4 linked regions of the Caenorhabditis elegans genome follow. The protein of the gene in region 4 interacts with the protein of the main gene of each other region in a pairwise test. Each region holds a gene or a part of one and is shown on either strand. Other genes may lie near its edges.

Evidence for each region.
Region 1: the proteins of lin-12 (region 4) and emb-5 interact in a two-hybrid assay, tested with the Caenorhabditis elegans proteins (one study listed by BioGRID).
Region 2: the proteins of lin-12 (region 4) and osm-11 interact in a two-hybrid assay, tested with the Caenorhabditis elegans proteins (one study listed by BioGRID).
Region 3: the proteins of lin-12 (region 4) and dsl-1 interact in a two-hybrid assay, tested with the Caenorhabditis elegans proteins (one study listed by BioGRID).

Annotation. Positions count from the first base shown.
Region 1 is NC_003281.10:4,714,743-4,722,559, reverse strand, and holds emb-5 (Suppressor of Ty 6 homolog), read left to right. Parts: upstream 1-1,889; 5' UTR 1,890-1,894; coding exon 1,895-2,025; intron 2,026-2,072; coding exon 2,073-2,325; intron 2,326-2,398; coding exon 2,399-2,740; intron 2,741-2,790; coding exon 2,791-3,377; intron 3,378-3,421; coding exon 3,422-3,941; intron 3,942-3,994; coding exon 3,995-4,348; intron 4,349-4,395; coding exon 4,396-4,695; intron 4,696-4,743; coding exon 4,744-5,637; intron 5,638-5,684; coding exon 5,685-5,858; intron 5,859-5,910; coding exon 5,911-6,730; intron 6,731-6,782; coding exon 6,783-6,973; 3' UTR 6,974-7,267; downstream 7,268-7,817. Other genes in the region: acy-1 (adenylate cyclase), read right to left, coding at 64-348; him-18 (SAP domain-containing protein), read left to right, coding at 7,383-7,441, 7,516-7,571, 7,623-7,743, 7,788-7,817. UniProt on the Caenorhabditis elegans protein: Histone H3-H4 chaperone that plays a role in maintenance of chromatin structure during RNA polymerase II transcription elongation.
Region 2 is NC_003284.9:17,419,669-17,422,985, forward strand, and holds osm-11 (Notch ligand osm-11), read right to left. Parts: upstream 1,801-3,317; 5' UTR 1,740-1,800; coding exon 1,688-1,739; intron 1,606-1,687; coding exon 1,088-1,605; 3' UTR 543-1,087; downstream 1-542. UniProt on the Caenorhabditis elegans protein: Probable secreted lin-12/Notch ligand or co-ligand involved in the mediation of Notch signaling. Involved in the lin-12/Notch pathway signaling of cell fate in vulval precursor cells (VPCs), acting redundantly with dsl-1 and lag-2.
Region 3 is NC_003282.8:1,206,705-1,209,709, forward strand, and holds dsl-1 (Delta-like protein dsl-1), read right to left. Parts: upstream 1,377-3,005; 5' UTR 1,365-1,376; coding exon 994-1,364; intron 939-993; coding exon 551-938; 3' UTR 514-550; downstream 1-513. UniProt on the Caenorhabditis elegans protein: Probable secreted Notch ligand involved in the mediation of Notch signaling. Involved in the lin-12/Notch pathway-mediated signaling of cell fate in vulval precursor cells (VPCs), acting redundantly with lag-2, apx-1 and osm-11.
Region 4 is NC_003281.10:9,068,438-9,073,273, reverse strand, and holds the start of lin-12 (lin-12/Notch intracellular domain), read left to right. Parts: upstream 1-1,801; 5' UTR 1,802-1,885; coding exon 1,886-2,034; intron 2,035-3,554; coding exon 3,555-3,673; intron 3,674-4,836. UniProt on the Caenorhabditis elegans protein: Essential signaling protein which has a major role in many developmental processes; involved in cell fate decisions that require cell-cell interactions. Probable membrane-bound receptor for putative ligands lag-2, apx-1, dsl-1 and osm-11.

The sequences.
Region 1 (7,817 bases), 4.4 Mb from region 4:
TTGATATTTTTTTAGCAATGAATTCTAGATTTTTTTCCAAAAAAAAAACAAATAAAAACTCACCCAATGCTGAATAAAAGTTCTATCGAATAAAGCTAAATAAAGTGTCCAAGCGGCAATTACAACGGCAATATATATTAATCCAGAACGAAATCGATCTCTTAACTGACTGAAACTACACTTCCAATATTGAGCTTCTAGTGTTGCAGATCGAAATTGAGGATTCCACCATCTAGCAGATGCTCTCTCAAATAATGGAACACGTCTTGGGGAACTACTGTGTGCACGAACTGATGGTCCACATGAACCACCGAGAGCCGGTGTTCGTTCACCGACATCGTCGTCCATGAATCCAGAAGACAAGAAGAATCTTCAGAATAGAAGACGTTGAAAAATGAAAAGGAAGAAGATGAGGCAAGTAGAGGAGAGCGAGTAGTAGTTGTTCCCCCTCCTTCGCCTCCTACTCCCCCCAACTGCTTACTCTTTTTCTCTCGTTCACTCTCTTCCAATCTCTCACTTACTTTTGAAAGCCTTTTCAGAGAAAAAGAGAGTAAAAGAAAGTGCGCAGAGAGCTTTGGAATGAGAGAGGCGCAGAGTTTGAAACGAAAAGCTGCGCGCTCGACTGGCCCCAGGGTGGGGCGGGTCCAAGAGTGTGGAAGAGAGAGAGAGAGGATGGAGAATAGACATTGAGCCTCAATCTTTCGATTATTGTGCTCATGGATTCGGGGGATCCCATGGGATTTGATAAGTATGTCGGAAACAGCAAATGAATGAATAATTAGCGATGGAAATTAGGACTTCAACTAATGAAAAATGGTCAGCAAGTGAATATCTTGGGGGTTTTTCGGATATGATGATCAGCAGGTTCAGGTTATCAAAGTAATGCAGTTTAAGTGAACCTTCACTGTAGGCACTTACCCCCTAGGCATCTGGTAGGGCGTATATCTAGAATTGAAACACTGATTCAAGCGAAACTTTTTCAACTACCGTACTCGGGAGTACTGTAGTACCTCAATCTTTCTCGCCAAATTTCTCCTGAAATTACAGAACTTATGAATTGATTTTTCCTCGAAAAAATCTACGTATATATTTGAAATCGGGAAATAAGGAAAAAAAACTTTTAAAAAGCTTCTATCATACTCGCTGGTACGGTATTTGATAAAGTTTTTCTTCGTGGTAAGATTTTTGTTGATGAAAGAATGAGTCTGTGAAGAATAAACCTTCAAAATTGAACATGGTAGTTGAATGAAAATTAATCTTTTATGCCTAAATAATTTCACATAGCTATATAGCTATTACATTTTTCGCAACAATTCTGAATACCCCGGTTATCGTATTTCGTCGTCTTGGATGCTTGCTAAATGAACCAATTTGTTTACCTATCACGCAATAAAGATGAATCGAAATCACTTTTCGCAATATCGCTTTAAAATGAAACATATAATTCCTAAAATACGCGAAACTCGGGAAAGCGATATTTTTTAAACGACCGCGTTTTTCTATCTCTACCCGCCTCTTGCAATCCCACACTCTCTCGCCTAGCATCACAATGGGGCGCAGTTGCATAAATCGCTTCGCGTTCAAATTCAGAAAATCGTCTCATTTTTATTTTTGTCCTCGACCCGAATGGCCGGTTTCCTTCTTTCTCCGTTTTCTTTATTGATTAATTTTCGCTCGTTTGGCCTAAAAACCGCGTAAAATCCGTCATTTTTCACCTATCTGGCTAATTTTTTTTGCACAAAATAAGATTTTTCAGTTTTCTTTCACTTTTAAACCTTTTCCGCACTGTGAGCTGTTTGCAATTTTCTTAATTTTGCTCTTTGTGCTTTTCGAAATTTTTGTATTATGAAATTTCGTTCTTCCCAAGTGAAATTAACTGAATTTGTTGCAGGTAATGGATTTTATCGATAATCAAGCCGAAGAATCAGATGCCTCCTCGGGCCATTCTGATGATGAAGAACCACAGTCGAAAAAGATGAAAATGGCAAAGGAAAAATCAAAAAGAAAGAAGAAAATGGTTGCCAGGTAATTATAATTCCGGGGTATTTCTATTTTCATTTGTTCATTTTTAGTTCTGACGAAGATGAAGACGACGATGACGATGAAGAGGAAAACCGTAAAGAAATGCAGGGATTCATTGCAGATGATGACGATGAAGAAGAGGACGCAAAATCGGAGAAGTCAGAAAAATCTCGGCACTCGGGAGAAGATGAGCTCGACGATGAAGATCTTGATTTGATCAATGAGAATTATGATATTCGAGAGACGAAAAAACAAAATCGAGTTCAATTGGGTGATTCCAGTGATGAAGATGAGCCGATACGAGTGAGTAATTTCGATTTTTTTCAATTGCCACTAAAATTCATAATAATAATAATAATCAAATTCGGAATTTCAGAGACCCAACCACGAAGATGATGATTTGCTTTCCGAACGAGGAAGTGACGATGGAGACAGGCGAAAAGATCGTGGTCGTGGAGATCGCGGTGGTTACGGATCAGAGTCTGAAAGAAGTGAGGATGACTTTATTGAGGACGATGGAGATGCGCCACGAAGACATCGGAAACGTCATCGTGGAGACGAAAATCTCCCAGAAGGCGCTGAAGATGACGCCCGTGATGTATTCGGAGTGGAAGACTTCAATTTGGACGAGTTTTACGACGATGATGATGGCGAGGATGGTCTAGAAGACGAAGAGGAGGAAATAATAGAAGATGATGGTGAAGGAGGAGAGATAAAGGTTGGAATTTTTGAGAAAAGCTTTGCATTATTGAAATAGGAATGGTTCAGATACGCAGAAAGAAGGATACTACAAAGAAGTCAACACTTCTCGAATCCATCGAACCAAGTGAAATTGATCGTGGATTCTTGTTACCTGGGGATAAGAAAATCGCGAAAGAAGATTTACCAGAGAGGTTCCAACTCAGAAGAACACCAGTTACAGAAGCGGATGATGATGAACTGGAATCTGAAGCTCTATGGATTATTAAATATGCCTTCGAAGAAGGGACAGTGACAAATCAAGCTGACCTGGATCAAGACGATAAACTTGATTGTATAATGAATCTGGATCCTTCTGTCTATGAAGATAGAAAGAAAGCTGTTATAAAATCCATCAAGAAAGTTCTCCAATTCATTCGAGTTCGTTCTAATTCGTTCGAACCTACGTTTATTGGATTTTATCGTAAAGAAGATATTGACAATCTTCTGACAATGAATAATCTATGGAGAGTATACGATTTTGACGAAAAATGGTGTCATTTGTCAGAGAAGAAAAATAAAATTTACGATTTAATGCGTCGGATGAGAGAGTATCAGGAACTCAGTGACGATTTGACCGCAAAAAGACGACCGATTTCGGATGCAGATTTGATGGAGTAAGTTTTAAAATTTAAAATTTAGAATTTAAATTATTTTTCAGCACAAAATACGCAGAAACTCTTGAACAGCTTACCGACATACATGCAAATTTCCAATTGTTGTACGGTGCTCTTCTCGACGATATGATTAGATGGGAAAAAGGACGTTTAACCGGTGAAGAAGAGGAACAAGAGTATCGAGTCAAGTTCAAGTCAAGCATTCGTAATGATAAGTATCAAATGTGTGTGGAAAACGGAATCGGAGAGCTTGCTGGACGGTTTGGATTGACTGCAAAACAGTTTTCTGAAAATTTGAACTGGAAAAAACACGACATTGAGCAAGATCCGATGTTACCATTGGAAGCAGCAGAAGAGTATGTTTGTCCTGCGTTCAGTGACAGTGATATGGTTCTGAATGGTGCGAAATTCATGCTTGCCAAGGAGATCAGTCGACAACCACAAGTCAGGCATAGTGTTCGGCAAGAATTCCGCCAGTCTGCACATTTTTGGATCAAGCCAACGAAGAAAGGACGTGATACAATTGATCAAACTCATCCCCTCTATGACAAACGGTATATCAAGGTGAGAATTATTTGAAATAAATGTCTAGGATTTTAATAAATATATATTTTTAGAGTAAACCAGTTCGAAGTCTCACCGCTGAAGAGTTCCTCTTCTATCACAAAGCCAAAGAGGATGGTCTTGTTGATGTGCTCATCATGTATGAATCTGAAGAAGATCAGGATTCAAATAACTACCTCGTTAACAAGTATCTAAGTGATTCCATTTTCCAAAAAGACGAATACACGGAAAATGTTGAACAATGGAATTCAGTGAGAGATGAGTGTGTGAATATGGCTATAACTGAAATGCTTGTACCCTACATGAGGGATGAGTTGTATAATACGATTCTTGAAGAAGCAAAGACTGCAGTAGCAAAGAAATGTAGAAAGGAGTTTGCATCTCGAATTTCTAGATCAGGATATCTGGTATTAATTTGATTTAATAACTATGTAATTGTTTTGTTTTATTTCAGCCGGATTTCGATAATAACGATGACGATGATGATGGTATGGATCAACATGGAGCTCGTCGAATCATGGCAGTGTGCTATCCAACAGAGCGAGACGAAGCTTCATTTGGTGTAATGGTTGATGAAAATGGTGCAATTGTTGATTATCTTCGAATGGTTCATTTCACGAAACGAACGTTTGGCGGTGGAAACAATGGACTAAGGAAGGCCGAGTCAATGGATTTGTTTAAGAAGTTTGTACAGAGACGAAAACCTCATGCTATTGGATTGAATATTGAGGATATGGAGTGTACTCGATTGAAGGTTTGCACTAGTTTTGAACATTTGATACTTAAAAACTGCAATTTTCAGAGAGACCTCGAGGAAGCTGTGGCAGATCTTTTCTCGCAGAACTTGATCTACAAACCAATTCCAGTATTTTTGATGGACAACGAAGCCGCAAAAGTCTACATGAGATCGAATGTTTCGTTGGCGGAGAATCCAGATCATCCACCGACGCTCCGACAAGCTTTATCCCTAGCTCGTCTTCTTTTGGATCCCATCCCAGAGTATGCTCATTTGTGGAATATTGATGAAGATATTTTCTGTCTCTCTCTGCATCCGCTTCAACGGGATATCGATCAAGAGCAATTGGCTTTGGTTCTCAGTCATGAATTGGTGAACAAGGTCAACGAAGAAGGTGTTGATATCAATAAATGTGCAGAATTCCCTCACTACACTAACATGCTCCAGTTCACATGCGGATTGGGTCCACGAAAAGCCACTGATCTTCTGAAAAGCATAAAAGCTAACGATAATTTGATAGAGAGTAGATCGAAACTTGTGGTTGGATGCAAACTGGGACCAAAAGTATTTATGAACTGTGCTGGATTCATCAAAATTGACACTATCAAGGTATCGGAGAAGACTGACGCTTATGTTGAAGTTCTTGACGGTTCGAGAGTACATCCAGAGACCTATGAATGGGCTAGAAAGATGGCTGTGGATGCGTTGGAGGTTGATGATTCTGCTGATCCAACTGCGGCTCTTCAAGAAATCATGGAATCTCCTGATCGTTTGAGAGATCTCGATTTGGACGCGTTTGCCGATGAATTGAGTCGACAAGGATTCGGAGAGAAAAAGTCGACGTTGTATGACATCTCAAGCGAGTTGAGTGCGAGATATAAAGATCTTCGGCAACCATTCCAAGAACCTACCGGAGAGCTTTTGTATGATCTTTTGGCTCGTTCAGGAAAAGAAATTAGAGTATGTTACTTGTAATAATTCTGTCGATTTTATTTTTATTTTTGCAGGAAGGAGCTAAAGTGTTGGGAACAGTTCAATCTGTGCAGTACCGTAAAGTTGACAAAGATGCAGCAGACAGCATGTTACCTGATGTTGGAGAAGATGGTCTTTTCACTTGTCCATGTTGTAAATCGTTCACATCTTCGGCTCCTGGTGGAATTCAAGAACATATGCTCGGTGACGTAAGTTTTTCTCAACTAATACTATTCGTTAACCAATGTTAAATTATTTCAGTCTCGTCAAGGTGGATGTCCTGGAACACCAGTCGGAATTCGAGTCAGATTTGACAATGGAATGACTGGATTCTGTCCGAACAAGAACATCTCATCAAGTCACGTAGACAATCCATTAACCCGAGTCAAGATAAATCAGCCATATTACTTCAAAGTTCTCAAGTTGGACAAGGAGAGATTCTCACTATTCCTAAGTTGTAAGAGTTCGGATCTGAAAGAAGATGATTTATCTCAACGTGATCAGTACTGGGATGAGCATCAATACCAAGCTGATTTGGAACTGATGAAGAGTGAATCGAAAAAGAAGACAGAAGCAAATACACGTGTGAAGCGAGTAATTGCGCATCCAAATTTCCATAATGTATCCTACGAAGCTGCTACGAAAATGTTGGATGAAATGGATTGGTCTGAGTGTATTATTCGTCCATCGGCTAATAAAGATTCTGGTCTTTCTGTGACATGGAAGATTTGTGACCGCGTCTATCACAATTTCTTTGTCAAAGAATCCGCAAAGGATCAAGTTTTCTCCATTGGTCGGCAACTCTCAGTCGGCGGAGAAGATTTCGAGGATCTTGATGAGTTGATTGCTCGATTCGTTCAACCGATGATACAGATCTCTCACGAGATAACAACTCACAAGTACTTCTTCCCAAATGGAACATGCGAAGAAACAGAAGCAGTCGAGCAATTTGTACGAGAGAAGAAACGAGAGCTGGGACGATCTCCGTACGTATTCAGTGCATCCTACAGACAGCCATGCCAATTCTGTATTTCTTATATGTTCGATAATACAGAACGGATTCGACATGAATATTTCAAAAGTGAGTTTCGAAAAGAGATACGAACAAAGTTTTCAACTATTTTTGTTTACAGTTGTCCCACATGGAGTCCGATTCCGACATCAAAACTTTGATACGCTAGATCGAATGATGGCTTGGTTCAAACGCCATTTCCACGAGCCTCCCATCGAGTTAAGGCGATCTGCGATCCCGGCTCCACAGTATCGAGTTGGTGCTCCTCCAGCAGCTCCATACTATCCTCCTCAATTCGTCGGCTATCACTGAAAACCCTGATCTTATTCTCTTTATTACCCACACCTTATCAGACACATTCAATCCTGTTTCCTTTGTTCCAGTCTATCAACGATGATCTAATTTTAATTTATAGAATACAACATCCATCTGTCTTAATCCCACATAATTTGTTTTGATTTCGGTAATCCGTTCATCCTCGATTTTTACTTTTCAAACATTTTTATATATCTATCAAAATATTTATTCAAGCAGTCATACTGTTCATGAGCTCTTTCTGTATTCAAGTACCATTTTTGTTGTTTACTCAATAAATTTCGTAATCAGAATCACTGCTAAATCATCACGAAAAAACGTAGAATGCGTTGATCACAATTGATATTGGAATAAGAATTGCAAATTCAGTTTTAGAAGAAAAAAAAGTATTCTAGATTCTACTCATATGAATGATTCATCACTAAAAAAGGCACTGTCCCAAAACTCGATCTCATCCGCGCCAAGGTAGTAAGGTTTTTGTTTCTGTCGTATCTATTTAACCTAAACGTAAATTAAAAAATATCTGTCTTTTTTTCTAGGCGTCCTCAAAAACTTGGAAGTGTGCAGAGTATTGTAAGAAATGAATCTGACAAAAGTAAGTTTCAAATCAAATTTCCCAATTAAATCAATTAATTTACTTTTTGAGATGTTCCTTCTCCTTTCGAAGAGATCACACTGAGCGACGATGATGAAGAAGCACCGGCTAAGAAACCTGTAAAATGTGCGACGTGTGCACGAGATATGACTCTTTGGATGAATTCCAGAAGGTTTGAAATATTATTTGTGTTTCTTCTCACTGTTCAAATTTTAGAGATATTCATGTAAAAGTTTGCAAAGCGAA
Region 2 (3,317 bases), on a different chromosome or scaffold from region 4:
AAGAAAATGATAGCTTGTTATTGTAGTATTCTAGTAATCACAACACAATAAAGACCAACTTTCAAAAGTTAGAACCCATACCACACCGCCACACCTTGTTTCCCTGCAAAAAGTCATTGTTTGTGCTGTGAAGTTGTTGACATATTCGAAAGGAGAACATGTTGTTTGAGGAGAAAAAGAAGAAGATACGACAATGATAATACTTCTCTCTGACACTGTCTTCAAAGAGCGAGCCATTTATCAAAAGAAACTTCATCACCGAATCTCGTTCTATCGTAATCATACATCAGAAGCCCACGGTGTAGACGGCGATGGTGGTGACAGGAGAAGAAGGAAGAGGAAGAACGGAGAAGAAGACGCGACGTCGAAAGACGATTTTTGTTAAGCGTTTGATCGTACGACACTCTCAGATAGTCTATTTTCGGAGAAGACAAAGATGTATTGCTTTCTTCTTTTTTCCTTCTTTAGAAGATTGTTACTGTATCTGTTTTAAACCATGTTTAACTATTTTTGCATTGTCAATGAAAAGAACAAGAAGATATGAAAGAGAAGAGTCGTCTTTATTAAACGTTATCAACTGAATTCCTTAATCAGAAAATCAAGCACTGGGCCAAACGTTTTTCAGGGGAGGGTACACAGTACTGAGACAAATCATTTACGGATCAGGTAAATTCAGGATTGAAGCACAAAAGAGCACATAAGCGGAGGTATGGACGAAATTAATCAGTTATCCAGCGATACTTTCCATCCAATTCGCTGCGATAACTGATTAACCAGTTATCTAGCTATTTTAGCTATTTTTTAATAAGCTTTCGAAAAATGTACACGATTCAAGATATCGAGATCTTAAATAGCTTAGCGAATCGGTAGGAGGGGCCAAAAAGAGAAAAAAAAATAAAAAATTAAATAATTGCACTAGGGTGCGAGCTCATAGAAAACAATTAGAGGGAAATTTGGGGGAGGAGTGAGAAAAGAAAAAAAACAAATGTTAAAAGTAGGTAGGTCCCACCTAGGCAAAAACGATTGCATGTCTTAAAGGCCCCCTATAGAGGAACGGCTTTGCTATTTACAATATTAACAACAACGCTTAATACTGCACTGGAGTGAACATGGTGCACTTGGAGTACCAACGTTGGCAAGTCTCGGCCATGGCAGCGGAAGATGGTGGGTTGCACATTTGATGGACCTTTGGATGAGTGTGGGCGCACTTGCACTCGTCGGTGCAGTGAGCGGCGGTGCATTCTGGAGTGCAGGTGGCTACGATGGCGGCGGTGAGACGGGTGGTCTGTGGAGCGGTTCTTGAGGAGTGGATGTGGGCTGGCTTGCGCTCATCGGCGATTGGCAAATCGAGGCTGGCAAAGTCGGATCCTCTTGGAAGGACTGGTGGCATAACGAGTGGTGAGCCGAGGTCTGGAAGCTCGACGAGTCCGGCCTTTCCAACGGCACAGTGCTTTTCGTAGGCTGGGCAGAACTTGGCAACCTTTCCAAAGAGAGCACGGTCAATTGGTCCAGCGTTGTCTCCACAGTATTTGTTGTAGTGGTCAAGATGCTTGATGCAATAACGTTCGGACATCTCCTCATTGCGACGAACACGGGCAGGGTTGGCTGAAAATACAAAGAATGATGTAATTGTCTAATATCTTTGAAAGTTATCGAATGTTCTCTATAGTTTTGTAAATGTGCTCACCTTGTGCCAAGACCATAACGATAGCGAGAGCGGCGACGGTAATAAAGTTCATTTTTGGAAACGGTGTTTTTTTGAGATTCAATTGCTTGATCTCGCAAGTCGAAACTGCGTACTGCCTATCTGAAATCGGCGCCTTTTATGCGTTCGCGTGAACTCCGCCCCACAATACCGCCCTTCCTTGTCTGTGAGAGTCGTCGGAAGCGGCGCGGGGCGCGCGTCCCGCCCCCTAGGAACTTTGAAGATTGCCTCGCGGTGGGGAGAAGGACGCCGAATAAACTGATTGTTCTAAAAATATCATCAGGGCCGAAGGAGGGAAAGAAGGATTGAAGTATCGGCGACTAACGGAATTGAGAAATAGCAGCACCGGTGTAGAGGGTTTCGTGGTTTTCGGCGGATGATGGATGGGATCTCTAATGATCGCCCTGTGGTTAGAGTGATGGAGAAGCCAGTGTCGCACACAGTTTTCTGAAGATGAGAAGATAGTGGTCGAAAAATGATAATGATGATGATGATGATGTGAGGAAAGATGTATAAGACATCCGATGGGGGTACGTCGAGGTCGTCGATGTGTTTCGATCTTCAGCTACTACGCCGTTATCATGTACCCTGCACAGCGTCGGACACAAACATCTCCGTGGTGCGCGTAAACTCGACGACGACTCGTGATGGACGTCTAAAAAGGGATATGGGAGACAGAAATAATGCACCCGTTCTTTACGTGTTATCACTGCTTTAGAAATAAACTATTTTTAGTGTTTCCCTCGTTGTACGCAATCTTTATTCTTCACTTCACCATTTCATTACTTCATCATGCGGAACACAGACTACTGCTACACAAAAAAGTTATAGTCGTCACGTTTCTTAAACCTTTTTTTTTACTTTTTGATGGTTTTTGTTTTAGCGACTGACCAAAACAATCTTGCGGTCAAGGCTTTTTCAGTGTAAGTACGTTATGATAAGCTAGGAACAATGAAGTTTGGGAATTGAATGAGTTAATCATTCGACGAAGAATTATTTCGTAGTTGAACTATGTGTGGCTTCTAGCATAACGTCATTTCAAAAGAGTTATAGATGACGATTACTGTCAGATGTTCTTTACTCAAAGCTTTATTTTGTAACACCGTGTTTACCAAACCACTACTTTCAATTAAGCAAACATCCGTGCAACTGTCTTTCTTTTTCATTTCCATATCCTATTCAATAATACCGTAACAACTTCCTTGGCAAGAAACAGTTCTTTGATTCAGGTTTTTACTGTCCGGAATTAGCTGCCCAACTTGAGACATGAGACCAGAGACAAATGTTTTCTCCAAGTTAGAATTCGAAACACAGAAAAACTGTATTTTTCCCCTGTTACCCTAAAAAACATGCCCTTTGCTCCTTCCCTGTCATTCATTCATCAAGGCACTTCTAGAAACAACGTCTTGTTTCTCTTTTCGTGTGATGGATTGTGTACGACCTCCAACACCTTCCGTATCTCCTGACTTTTAATGGTTGAGGTTGCGTCTAAATTTGGAACAACTTTGAACATTTTGAGTGACATCTTTTGAATTTGATTCTAGATAAGCTTTTGATTTTTTTTTCATTTCTATCTTGACACTCTTGTTCTCCTTTCTGTCATCACGGTGTA
Region 3 (3,005 bases), on a different chromosome or scaffold from region 4:
CGAACGATTACAATTGTTTTGAGTTTTTTCGAAGAAACACCTTTGGTTCCAACATGATTGTCCTATGCATTTAAACCAGGGCTGTGCGGCAACCGGCAACCGAGTTGCCGGTTGCCGAAATTTTTTAGCTTCGGCAATTGCCGGTTGCCGAAAATTTTGGAGTTCAGCAACTTCGGCAACTGCCGATATCAATGTGAAACATTCTGCAGCTCATAAAAAGCATTCGGAGAGCCTGATAAATGCTAATATTTCGCCGTAAACGAGAAAACGACCATTATTTTTTAACCAAAACGCTCAAAAATATAATTTTAACAAAAAAAACTTTAAAACTTGGTTGCCGGTTGCCGAAAAGTTGCCAAAATTTCGGCAATCGAACGTTGCCGGTTGCCGAAAATTTCTGGGTTCGTCAACTTCGGCAATTGCCGGTTGCCGAAAATCCCGGTTGCCGCACAGCCCTGATTTAAACGTGTACTCATTTTAAAATTCATATTCATACAAGAATTAAAAGTAAAAAAAATCATTTTATTTTCATTAAGCTCAATATTAGGATTCACAATCGAGGAAGCGTGGCCAACTCATTCGGCACCCGACTGTTGTTATAAAACTGGCGTGCCAAATGAGAATCCTTCGTGGCATACGTAGTTGCTTCGATCTTTGGAAAGTAGTTGAACGATTTCTTCTCACAGTGTTTTCCTTCAAAATGTCCCAAACGACATTCACAAATTAGAGAGCCGTTCTGAGCCCATGTATTTTCGAGGCTTGAGACACACTTTCCCCCGTTTTGACACTTGCAGGAATCTGCAGGAACAGGAAGTTCGCAATTAGGTCCGTGGAATCCTTCTAGGCAGCCGAGAGTTCCGTTTTGTGTGCACCGCCTGTTAATTGTACGGGCAAAGTCGTCATTGCAAAAGTGGTCGCAGTGAAGGCCATGCCAATATCTGGAAATTGTGATTTTTCAAGAATCAGCATTTCAATTTCAATTTCAAAACTCACCTATTACACTTGATATCATAGCGGAATCCCGTAAATGGCAAGAATATATTGTCCGAAGCCACACTCCTCACATGGGTATTCCACCGTATCGAACGCAATGTAACACGATGGATTTGAAATTTTTCGACAGGACTGCAATCCACCAACACTAATCCCGGTCTTCCGAACTTTACAGGAATATTGGACACAAATCCCACTCTATTGGGCTTAAGTTGGAGATTGAATGAACGTTTATTGGTGGGAAAATACACTTCCTCGGCCACTTCGACAGTTACATTCAGGGGAAATGCACTTTTAAGGCGAATCGTCATATAACCATTAGAGTGGACGACAGAGATCAATATAGCAAGGAATATAAGATATTTGAGCATAACGCCTAGTATTCGAAAGACGACGGAGCACAATGAGCCACCGGAGTAGGTATTTATAGAGAGAACGCTCAGTCGTCCTGGAAGAGGTTGTTGGCGTTTGAAGATCGATAAGGTTAGACATGTCAATCGAGAATAGTGGCTACTAAAAACCAATATATCTCTTGGTACTTTGCCATTGTCTCATATTTAATTGCAGTACAGTGCACTTCTCGTTTGCCGAATTTGCCGTTTGGCGAGCTCGGTAGTTTTCGAAATTTACCGCACACATCAAAAATTTGACAATACAATTTTGGCCAAAACTAATGGTTGCTTTCGTCCCCAAAAATTTAGTTAAATGATACAAAATTTAGTTATTTTGATGTTTAAGCATACACACCACACGGAACTTATTCAGAAGCCTGATGTGCGTTAAGTATTCAGTAGTTTTGGTGCTCCAGAAAACATTTAAAAAAAGGTATTTTACAAGCGAAAGAGCTTCCAAATTTCAGGCTCATATAGCAAAGTTTTAGGACACTCCGAGTTAATTCATTCATTACAACAACTAATGGTACGAATATAGAATTAATTCCTCAATTAGATTTCAATCTCAATTCCTCACTATCTACGAAAATCTCCAGCAAATTCGGAACTATTCTTCATTTTATGAGTCATGGTTTTTCGTTGCAAAACTAAAACTGGAACGTTCATTCTGTTTGTTCGACGAATTTTGACTCAGTTTATGTGATTTTTTTGTTAAGACTATCTAAAAGCCTTACCGAAGTTGGTTTTTTTTTCGAATTCTGCAATTCTGCTACACTTTAAATAGGCGATTTGTCTATTTTGTCAGATAATAACTGTAACATGGCCTATTAGGTTCATAGGCCGGTGACCGAGTTTCCTCATTCCACGGCCACAAAGCAAAAGCCGGCATGTCATCGCCTTCAGCCATATAAATCAAACCTAAACTGTTTACAAACTTCCGATTCCACTTTTCTCTCTGCCATCTCTTCTCCCTAATAAAGAAATGGAGAAAAAACGAACGTGTTCGTTTATTTAGTGTAATGCAATGTTTGCCAGCTTCTGCTGCATTGTGAGGCGAATTCCTCGTATTTATCAGCATTTCCACCTCAAAAGTGGGAGATTTAGCAGTAAAAAGCGATTTTCTGAGGTTTTCGGAACAACTCGAAAAAAAGTCCGGCAATTTTTCTGTGGCTGGAAAATTGGATTTTTTCAAACATTCCGGCAAAGGGAGCAGTCGAGAAGTAATAGGGTTTTCTGTATTTTTTTTTTCGGAGACAGTCGAAATAATATGAAATGGAAATTCAGAAATTTTAGTTTTTTTTTTTTCAATTTTTGCGACAATCAGCTTTCAATCGTACTTTAAATTCATTTTTTCTATCCTCTCAGTGTCTGCGACCTCTCCATTCTCTCTCACATCATCTCCAGTTTCCCCGCAATGAAGAGACACGCTTCTTATCAAAACATGATGATGATGTTGATAACAACGTGTTCTTCCACCGTCATTTTTCTCTTTTGGTCAAAACCCCTTAACGATTTTGGTTTTGAACTTTGCGGTTTTAGGTCTAAAGCTTCTGACGTTTTATTTGGAAATTTTTATCTGATCTCGCTGTTAAAAATGATAGTTTTGCAGTTTTTGACCGT
Region 4 (4,836 bases):
TTTTTTTCATTTTCATAAGATTTCCTATTATCTTTTTTGTGGTAATTTTAAGATTTGACTATTTTAAAACAAAATACCACCAAAGCTGATAATTAATAACGGCCTTCTAAAAAACCAGGTTTTTATAGAGCTATTGTTAATGCCATTTTTAAATGTTTTCTTAAATGTTACACTCATTTATTAACAATATTGTTATTTTTGAAACCTTTCCTTGGCGGGTTCCCATGCCAATAAATCAAGTCAAGAGGTCTTGAGACTAATCCGTCGACGACAGTTCAAAGTTGCCGGTTGATTGTCACGTCACATGTATATGACACCACAGTAACAGACACCTGTGCTCCTGTTGGCTCATCCATCATTTCCGTGTTTTGGGAAAATAGTAGTTAATTGGTAGCAACAACTATGCGTGAATTTTTGCAACAAATTTGGTTCAGATAGCAATTAATTGTCGAGAATAAGGTTATATTTAATTGTGTGAAACAGTTAAAAAAATAATCAAAAAATGATCAAATCTGTTTGAATTCCCGCCAAAAACAAACGCCCACTTTTGAACCAATTAGCGACTTCGGAATTTCCATACTTAATCTGATTGGTTGAAGAATGGGCAGAGCGAATTGCTGATTGGCCATGCAGTTCTCGTTTTGGAGGTAATTCAAATAGAGAGATTAGAAAACACCTTGGAAAAAGCGTGTTCAATATTTTGATTTGTTTTTTTTTCTAATTCTTACTCGATGTGTTTAGTATTTTCAAGCTCTTTCAGCTTTTGAACAGGAAAAGCTATGAAAAATCTCTTCCGCCTATAAAATGGCTAAAAATCATTTATACAATCTTACAGTTGTTCCTAAATGGATAAAACCAAGATATTACTTTTTGAACAAAGCTTAGAAATTTTTTGCAAGTATTGATGTATAAAACTAAAAACTATAAAGTATCCGAATAAACAGAAATAAACAGAAATAAACAGAAATAAAACTCTAAAACTGACACACAAAGACCCAAAAGCCGCAAATCACCATACGTTCCCAGCAGTTCGTTTTCCTCATCTTGATCATTCTTCCTTCCGTTCCCACTCTCTTCTCTTCCACCTCCTCCTACTTCTACTTCATCCAACCATCTGACATCGTCGTTTCATTTTAAAATCATCTTCTCCTCCTTTTCTTTCTCGATGAAAAAAAAGTCTACTTGGTGGCCGCACCGCGACCGCAACAAGTTGGGCGGAGCCATCTGTCTCTCTCTCTTTTGTGTTCATCCTACCCCCACCCCTTCGCCCTCTCTCGTCCTTTTTACTGGGTGAAGACATAACAATAGCCACCCATTTTTTGATTGGCATTTATTTATCCTTAATTAATGATAATGCAAAAGCTACCAGGTTTGGGTTTTATTAGGTTTCGTTTATTGGTAATAATATATTCCTACAGCTCTCACGAAATATTTAAAATGTTTCGAGCCAAGTATTATAGTTTTAAGAATTGATCCTGTTTCCTTCTATTTTGCCCTTGTTTGTTAGTTGACGATGACTGTATTCCTCTTTTAGTATTGCAACTCACTACTTTACTTTGAAAGGTAATATCTCCGCTCATTTTGATGATATCAAAAACTGATTTTCTGCACAATGGAAAAAATATTTTGTCAGCTGACAATTATTATTTAGAACAAATGACAACTGAGATATAAGCTGTCAACACTAAATAACAGGGGTGCAATATTAGTACGGTCCGATCCTTTGCATTTCTATACCGTTTTACTGTCGTCAACTTTCAAACAACGAATTCACTAAATTAAATAATTCAAAACCATTTTCAGAACCTACATGATCCATATCTAAAAGCTAATTTCCTGTCTCTGTCCGCCCTATTGCTCAACAGACTTTGCTCAATTTCAAAAAATGCGGATCCCTACGATTTGTTTTTTATTTCTTCTTATCTCGTTATCAAAATCGCTTCATATTGGCTCATGTCTTGGCTTAATATGTGGAAGAAATGGTCACTGCCATGCTGGACCTGTCAATGGAACTCAAACTTCTTATTGGTGCAGGTATGTGAAGATTTTGCTTAACAATACTTAAACATTTTTTCAAATTTTAATTCAACGTAAAATAAATAATACAAATCTACACATTTTGAAAACTAATCTTAAAAATACGCAATAAATTGGGGGTAAGGAATATTCCTAGGAATTATGGGATTTCCTTTACAAAATTGTCAACTGACCAAATTTTTGTTATTTCTCTTGCTACCGTTTTGTAGTTACCGTATTTCCTCTATTATTCTTTTATTCAAGACTATTAGAGGAAATACGGCAATTCTTTTTATATCTTTGAAATTAACCGAGTTATAACTTTACAAAGTTAAGTAGCTAGGTGCAATACTAGTAAAAGAAGTACTGTAAATTATAACAAAACATTGTTTGTACCAGTAGACTATTCTTCCATAATCCATGCCCTTTTCAAACAATAATTACGTAATCCGTCTTGATTTATAGCGGCATGTGCTCTCCGTTGAGCAGCTAGCTCCTGATAAGATAGGTGATATGGTTCAAGTAGAGACACGTGTCACTTGAACAACACACCATTAATTTATAGTTGATGTTAATTAATAGGAGGACATTGTTCGCACGGGTTCCCACCATTTACGAAACTTGCGCAACAAGAGAAATGAGCGAGTAATGAGAGAAAAAACCCCACAGAGGAGACACCTGCGTCGTCCCTCGCTGTAGAAAAAACTTTCAATTTTTTTGGGAAAAAGTGAGGGAAAATATTGTAAAAACAATACTTTCAGGGTGTTATGGGAAAGTTGGAAAAAGTCGGGTTTTGGATAAATCAACTTCAGAAAAGCAATTCTCAGCCATTTTTTTCCTGCCAATTCTCGTCTCAAAGTCGAAGAAAAACCAGGCAATTAACCCGCTGAGATTCTCATTAAAATGCGAAAGAGAAGCAGCTTTTCCCCCTCCTGGTCTCGCACCGCCGCCAAAAAATCACCCAAATCGGTAGTTTATTGCCATGGGAAAACCGAAAAATACGGGAAATTGAGGGGAGAATTCTTCTTAATGACAAAAAAATACTGGTCTTCCACATTTTTCTTATCAAACAAAAAAGAATGGGGTAGGATTTATGACCAAGTTCCCAAAAGAAATGACCAATGGGGGGTTACTGTAAGATTACTGTAGCTGGTTTTGAACTCCCTATCAGATGTATTATCTGTCAAAGTTTTTCCCGAAAATTTAAATAGAAGTATAGAAAAATGTTTGCACTTTCTGAAAATTGCTTTACTTTCAATTGGCAACTTCGGAAAACTGCAACGAATGCCACTTTTACTCGGCATTTTGAGACTTTGAATGAGAAAAAGAATAGTCTTCAAAATTGCTTATCTTATCACAAATGAGGACTCAGTTGCCACCTCACAATTTTACAGCCGTGTTCCCAGTTTTGTCGGCAAAACATACTGTCGAGTGAGCCTACCATCAGTTGTCATAAAACCATAAAACAATAGGATTACGGTGCCTTTCGGCTGCACGACGTCTTTAATCTTTAACCCTAACCCTTCCCAATGTTTCAGATGCGATGAAGGATTTGGTGGTGAATATTGTGAACAACAGTGTGATGTTTCAAAATGTGGAGCCGATGAGAAATGTGTTTTTGACAAAGATTATCGGATGGAGACCTGTGTCTGTAAAGGTAAGATAATGTAATTTCGAGCTGAATAACTTATACACAACACTTCCCATTGCATCTCATTTTCCTGCAAAACCAATGAGCCAGTAGTGGTCACTTTTTTGCCCAATTCCCATAGGGACCTAAACACCCATCACTCATTTTTTTTAGCCCTCCATGGTGGCGGTGTTGCGAATGAAATGTTTTTTTGGCCCAAAATTCCAAAACTAGGGTCAGCTGCGCGCGCCCTTTTGTCGGTCATCTTTTTGACCACACCATCCATCATAAGCACATGCCTGGTGGAATTGTGGCAAACAACTGACAAAGTTGGGGGTGAATAATAATTTGAAAGTGAATAGGTGGATTTGAAAATTCAATGGAAGTTAAGAAACTAGGAATTGTATCATTTTTAAGACTAAACGAAATATTCGAAGATTAAAAAATAAGAATTTACTTACTCATTGTTAAAGCTATCACAGGTATAATAGCAATAGGCCTATAGGCAACGCGTATACAGGTCTAAATGTCTGCTTCACGCTGACTTGCCGGCCTACCGTCTAATTTTTTAAATGTTAGCTTGAACTCTGTAGTTTGCTGTAGATTGATGTTGAAAATTCAACAAAAATTGAAGACATTAGAAGATTGGAAGTTTGTGGCTACATGTGTAATTTATGCGAAACAGACGTAGGCTGCCTTGTAGGTAGCCAGGCAGGCATTTCCTCATATTTCGAAAGCTTACGAAAACTATGCTTTAAACTTTATGCGCTTACCATTCCCAACTTTCAAAAATTTTACTAATCGTTTTCCGTTAAACCATTTATGAGTATTGCTCCAAACTTCATCAATCTGTAGTTAGTAGATATTTAACAAAGTTACGGCAACCAAACACCTCAATATTTCATCATGACTCGTTTGTATCGAGGACAAATTGAAGCGCGGCCAATCTTTTTCCATTTCTCTTCAGCTCATTTGTCTTGTTGGCGGCGTTAAAAGTGACCGCGTAAGGTGCCTGATAGATAGCTCCTAGGTCATCTGCCCCTCCTAGCCTCTCTGTTTCATGCGCGCTTCTCTATTGTCGATGCGCTTCTTTTTGGCGCGATTTATGTCTGATGTTCGGTATGTGTGAAGAGGGCGGTGAATTGGGCGACGACCCGATGGCGCCTCGTGTGTGTTGCCAATTCTTGGGA